Linked DNA regions of Cricetulus griseus. The protein of the gene in region 2 interacts with the protein of the main gene of each other region in a pairwise test. Links are inferred from orthologs where the notes say so. Each region holds a gene or a part of one and is shown on either strand. Other genes may lie near its edges.

Region 1 (3,751 bases), on a different chromosome or scaffold from region 2:
TGTTCCTTCCAATGCTTTCTCAAGTCCAACACCAACCTAATTAAAATGCATTTAATAAAACTAATATAAACAAAATCTAAAATAGGGGGAGGGGAGGAGAGGAGGGGAGGGATAGGGAGAGGGAGAGGGAGAAGGGATTGACATGTGAAGCAAGCTTGTTCCTAATTTGAACTAATAAAAAAATTACAAAAAACTAAAATATCAAAAATAAAAAATAATCTAAAATAAAATAACACCTTACACTCTGCTGCCACTCTTGTCCAAAGTGACAAGAACAGCCACTCACCAAACTGCCCCTGTGGACATTTGTGCTTCTATCGTGTATTTCTTATACACAGCGAGACTTACTCTAGTCCCCAAAGAGCTTGAAACTCACTAGGTAGTCCAGGCTAACCTCAAACTTGTGGCAATCCTCCTGCTCCAGTCTTCAAAATACTGGGATTACAGGAGTGAGACACCACACCCTGAATAATGCTAACCTCTAAAAACACAAACTAGATACAGTCATTTGGGGCCCACCCTCTCCTCAGGGCTTCCTATGGCCATTACAATAGACCACAGGCTCCACAGGGTCTAGTGTGTATAAATCTAGGAGTCTCACTACTCTGTTCTTTGGCCATAGCCTTTGTTCATCCACCCTTCCATTTGCCTTTTGCCATTCATTTAATATGGCAGACACATCTCCACTCTGGGTTTTTTTGTTTTTTTGTTTTTTTGCTGATTTTCTCTCAGCCTCAAAGTGATGTTCCTCTCATGCAGACTCTGGATTTGCTAAACTTGCTTCTTCGGAGAATGAGCGAAAGTGTGCAAAGCTCCTCTGGTGGCCTGTGATTTTTGCTACTTGCTTATTGTTGTGTTCCTTCTCCCAGCTCAGGAAAATGAAAGCTCTAGAAAGTGACTTTCCCTGTATATGCCTAGACCAGAGTCAAGCACCTATTTGGTGCTCAACTAGTAACTGCCAAGTGATTGCATCCCCTCAAAATTCTCTTCTCTCTGAATTTTTTGGTCCTTCCTCATTTCAATTTTTGCTTTAACCACCTCCTCGAGGCGAGGCCCCAGTTGCCTTCTGCACACTATTCTTCCACAGTCCCCATCCTTTGAAGCGCGGCTCCTTTAAATAGACACGGGAAACCGCGTCCGAGAAGGCGGGGCCCGGGCTTGTGGGCGGGGCTTGCGTGCTACGTGCGTGCGCGTTCCGGAGGCGCCGCCGCCGCCGCCGCTCCCGAGGCCGCCGCCGCCCGCCGCCGCGCAGTGCCCGAGCCCGAGCCGCGGCGGAGAGGAGGGAGGAGGAGGAGGTGGAGGAGGCGCCGGGCCGCGGGGTGAGTGCGGGGCTCAAATGGGGGGCGCGGGCTGGCCGCGCCTCGGTGACCTCTTCATAGCCGCCCGCGAGTCCCGGGCGACGGCCCGGGGGCTGGCGGGCGGGAGGGGCCGCGGCTGGAGGCCGGAGCCAGCCACGCCCGCGGACCGAGGCCGCCCGGCCGGGCCTGCGGGACCGGCCGCAAGGGGCGGGCCGCGAGAGGAGACGCGTGTCCGCGCCCGCTCCGAGGTGTCGTCCCCGGGGCCGGGGAAGTGCAGTGCCCTCCGTGCGGCCTTTGCCCCGGCCTCCGAGCGCTGACACCTCCGCGTCCCACTCCGCCGCCAGCCAGCCGGGTTCCCGCCCTCCCTGCCCTCTGTCTTCTGCGGCTTGCCATGTGTTCGCTTTTGCAGCGTTGCTCTCCTCTCTGGTTTCTGCTGCTTCCCTTGCATTTTGTCAGGGTAGAGGCCACGGTGTGATTCTTGTCTTCCTCCCATCGAGGGTGTGTGAGGCGTGTCGGGGTGGTGGGATCGTGGCTTGTCTCACTCAGAAAGTTAAGGACAGTGTCTGCGGCTGAATTGTGTAATCTGCTGTTGTAAGGAGAAGAGTAAGGCAGGACAGTTGTGCCTAAAAAAAAAAAATAGATCCCTAGATTTCCTCACAGGATGGAAAACCAGAGTTTAGGGGACCTTTGATCCTTTGGAAAAAGAACTAACGTTGAGGAACAGTGTGTTGCCGTTGGGAAGGGAAAATCGTTTTGTCGCTGCTTTGAAGGAAGTACTGTGTAAGAAATGGAATAAAAGGGCAGGAGGTTAATGGGCCAAGCGTTACAGGTACCAGCCACTGGTTTCTGCTTCTTGGGTGGCAGAAGATCCGTTCTGGTTTTCTTAGAATCAAAGTGTCGACCCTCAAAATTAACCAGGGTAGCTTGCCTTCGAAAGTAGGCAGTTACAAGAGATGATGCTGGAAACAGGATTTGGAAACTTTCTTTGAGTTTCCTGTCAGAATGTGTGGGGGTGGGTATGCCTATGAGTAGTTTTTCTTTTCTTTTGATGTAATTGAATTCTGCAACACTTTGATATAAGTGCTAGATTAGGCCCCAGATTCCTTTCTGTCTTTATGCTTTTCTGTAACACTTTGTTTCAAAATTAAATTTATATTGTTGAATATGCTTTCTTAGTGTGGTGTTTCAGTGAATCTTGTTTAGCTTCCTTGACACTTCATATTTTGTTATGATTGTGTTCATTTTGTCAAGGATTACATGTGTCCCAACATTTGTTAAATGAATTGAATGGTTCAGTTCAGTGTCTGATTTTCATCTCATATCTTTTTGAGAGGTATCTTTATGTTAAATGTTGCATTTCACTTCCATTAATTAAAAATGTCATTCTTAAACTGATACTTTTGAGAATATGGGCTCTTTTTTTTTTTTGCCCAGGAAAAACAAAATAGACATTTATGCACAAAATTTTGCATTCAGTTTCAGGACTCCTCTAAAGTCCCCCATAGACACTTATTTTAAAAGTGAACTGAAATCCCAGATATTATTCAGTTTCTTATTAGAACTTTACAAAAGTGTACTTTTTTTGTGGCCTTTGGTTGTGATTGTGTCTTCACCTGAACTTCTGGGGATTTGATAACAAGGTTTAAGAGTGATTGTCTTACAATTTTATGTTCTCAGTAACCACCACCACCCCCAAACAGGTTTCATGTATAAGTCAGTAATGCAGTTGAAGAAGACCTTGAACTTCTAATGCCTCTACTTCTAGAGTGCTTGGTTAGGTATGTGCTTCCATGCCTGGTGCATGTGGGGCTGGGGATCAACCCCAGCTTCACACATGGTAGGTAACCGATTTATTAGCAGTCATTTTGTTTGTAGTGCTGGGGATCTAACCCAGAGTTACAAGAACAGTTAGTTGGCAAAGCACTTTACCACTGAGCTATATCCCCAGTCCTAACCCACAGTCATTTTAAAACCAATACTCCCTAGTATCCTTTGGCCCTTTAAAATCATAATTATGACTAATTAGGCTTTTACATGTAAATCTACTTTTTAGTAATAGGAGAATTTGAAAATCAAATAATTTCTTTTTCTCTCTTTCAAGCTTGTTTATATGCATGGTTTTCGTGTAGTTAATTATGAAAATATGCCATATCAGTTCATTAAGCATGTTTGCTGTGTGGCTAAAACAGAGTTCTTGCTGTCATCCCATCAGTCATGAGGTATAGACCATTCATTCCCAAATAAATGTAGAGTGCCAGGTGATGGAGCTGTACAGAAGACAGAGGACTGGTGCGGAGCTAGAGGAAAACACTGCCAGCAAAGACCTGAGACTGGAGCAGAGACCTGGAGGAAGTGAGAGAGGGATGTGTGCTCCCTTGTGTTCAAAGAGACCCCAGGAAGAAAGGCTTCTAGTGCAAAGACCTCAGAGTGTACATGGCCTTTTTGAGAGCAGC
Region 2 (2,622 bases):
TCTCTTTATCAGCCCGTGTGCCCAAGAAAATCCTCAAGTGCAAGGCAGTGTCTCGAGAACTGAACTTTTCTTCTGCAGAGCAAATGGAAAAATTCCGCCTGGAACAAAAAGTTTACTTCAAAGGGCAATGCCTAGAAGGTATTCTGCTACATGTGTGCCTGGAGCCAGAGTGTAGGAGGATGGGGCAAAAGGCAGATGCTTTGAGAATGCTAATTTTATAACTAATAGAATGTCTACAAACTGGGCATCCCCAGTGAAAACAAACAAGGCTGGACACAAAAGGGGCTTTGAGCTCTCTGACACTGGAAGCTTGAGTGCCTGTACCTGTGCCTGTATCTGGTGTGGTATTACAATGTGGTCTTGGAAGAAGCAGCTATGGTGAAGTGTAGTATAGAGCTGTACCTGCACATCATAAGCTGAAACTAGTAGGGACTCCCGGCATTGAGTAGTTCTCAAATGTAAGAGAACATGTAGGCGCCATAAAGCTAAAATTCCAAAAGGCTCTCTATCTCTATTTTAGTGCACATCTTGTTACTCCTAAGGAAACACAGCTGGGGCTGGAGAGGTGGCTCAGGGGTTAAGAGCACTGATTGTTCTTCCAGAGGTTCTGAGTTCAATTCCCAGCAACCACGTGGTGGCTCACAACCATCTGTAATGTGATCTGGTGCCCTCTTCTGGCCTGCACTGTATACATGATAAATAAATAAATAAATCTAAAAAAGAAAAGAAAACACTGCCTAGCTAGGCAGTGGTGGCACATGCCTTTAATCCCAACACTCAGGAAGCAAAGGCATGTGGATTTCTGAGTTTGAGGCCAGCCTAGTCTATAGAACTAGTTCCAGAATAGAATAGCCAGAGCTACACAGAGAAACCCTGCCTTGAGGGGGAGTGGGCGTAAGAAGCCTGTGGCACAAATCAGAAGATGGTCTGTGAAGGTCTGTGTCTTTTCCTATGCCTCTGGTTTAGGAGGCATCTGATAAGTCCTTTCATGATTCTGGATAGGAAGAGCCCACTCTAAAGGAGAGGGACAAATAGCCTATGGTTTCCCGTGCCCACAATAGCACTTGCTCACTAGCTTTTCCTTCTTCCTTCAGAGTGGTTCTTCGAGTTTGGCTTTGTGATCCCTAACTCCACAAATACCTGGCAGTCCTTGATAGAAGCAGCACCCGAGTCCCAGATGATGCCCGCCAGCGTCCTAACGTGAGTGAGGTCTCAGGGAATTTCAAAGTGTGTCTCAAAACAGGCTTTCAGGCAGGTGGGACTCCTGGCCCTGTTCACAAGCAGAAATCTAGAGAGAAGTGAGAGCAGAAAATTACCCAGGGCTGTGTCAGGGTTACTGACCTTGAAAAACAGTAGTTTCAAAATCTTTAGACCACGTTTTAAATTTCCAGTTCACCCTGATGACTTGTCTTTGGGTGATAATGTCTTTGGTTGGTTGGTTGGTTGGTTGGTTTTGGTTTTTTTGAGACAAGGTTTCTCTGTGTAGCCCTGGCTGTCCTGAAACTCACTTTGTAGACCAGGCTGCCCTGGAATTCAGAGAGATCCACCTACCTGCCTCCCAAATGTTGGGATTAAAGGCATGTACCACCACCAAGCTGGGTGATGTCTTACCTTGCAGAGCCTTATTTTCTTGGATACAGTGAAGGTAAAAAAAAAAAAAAAAAATTGAGACAATGTGGAAAAGAACCAGCACAAAATGGATGTCAAATCTAGCAAGTTCATTTTCTCACCAAGTCTCTATACACACTTTGGATCCCCTTACCACATCTCCAGAATGCTCCATCTTAGAGGATAGCATCTGGGCATAGGCTTCCAGAAACTGGCCTATGATTCCCTAACTGCTTCCTGATCAACAAACAGTTCCTTTGTTTGTCAGAACAACTGCCAATGGCTAGCAAGATGTCTCAGCTGATAAAAGTGCTTAATGGGACAGACCTGGTGGTCTGAATTTGATCTCTGAAACCCAAGCTAGAAGGAGAAATGCTCTCCAAAAGTTGACATGTGGTGTATGCCTTGGTACATGAGTCATGTGAACCATGGTATGCACCACATGCTCCTGCACTACCACACACATCATACACAGATACACAGTAATAATAATAAAAGTCTGAAAACATTGTCAGTAACTGCCCACTTAGCATATATTCCTGGGAAAAGATTGAGTCTTTCAAATATTTCAATAGGCCTGGGGATGTATCTCAGTGACAAAGAGCTTGCTCAACATGTGTAAGTTCTACGCCCAGCACTACCAAAAAGAAGTTTCAGTAGTAGTGTTGTCTAGAAGTTTAGTCCCACAAATAATTGTGTAACCCTAGGTCATCTACAGGATATCCTTTATTAAAGCCACAGCAAATGTATAAATGAGACATAGAGGAGCTGGAGAAGTGGCTTAGCAGTTAAAAGTACTGACTGCTCTTCCATAGAACCCAAGTTTGATTCCCAGCACCCACATGACAACTCTCAACTCTCTGTAGCTCCAATTCCATGTGATCCCATACCCTCTTAAAGCCTCCAAAGGCACCAGGCACATGTATGTTGTACAGATTTACATGTAAGCAAAACATCTATGCAGATAAAATACAATATTTTTTTGAGACAGGGTCTCTAATTAGACCTGGCTGT

The links.
Region 1: the proteins of Pde6d (region 2) and Rap1a interact in a two-hybrid assay, tested with the Homo sapiens proteins (2 studies listed by BioGRID). The link is inferred for Cricetulus griseus from reciprocal best matches to the Homo sapiens genes PDE6D and RAP1A.

What each region holds. Positions count from the first base shown.
Region 1 is NW_023276806.1:51,206,337-51,210,087, forward strand, and holds the start of Rap1a (ras-related protein Rap-1A), read left to right. Parts: upstream 1-1,204; 5' UTR 1,205-1,319; intron 1,320-3,751. UniProt on the Homo sapiens protein: Counteracts the mitogenic function of Ras, at least partly because it can interact with Ras GAPs and RAF in a competitive manner. Together with ITGB1BP1, regulates KRIT1 localization to microtubules and membranes.
Region 2 is NC_048595.1:438,214,679-438,217,300, reverse strand, and holds part of Pde6d (retinal rod rhodopsin-sensitive cGMP 3',5'-cyclic phosphodiesterase subunit delta), read left to right. Parts: intron 1-12; coding exon 13-138; intron 139-1,094; coding exon 1,095-1,200; intron 1,201-2,622. UniProt on the Homo sapiens protein: Promotes the release of prenylated target proteins from cellular membranes. Modulates the activity of prenylated or palmitoylated Ras family members by regulating their subcellular location.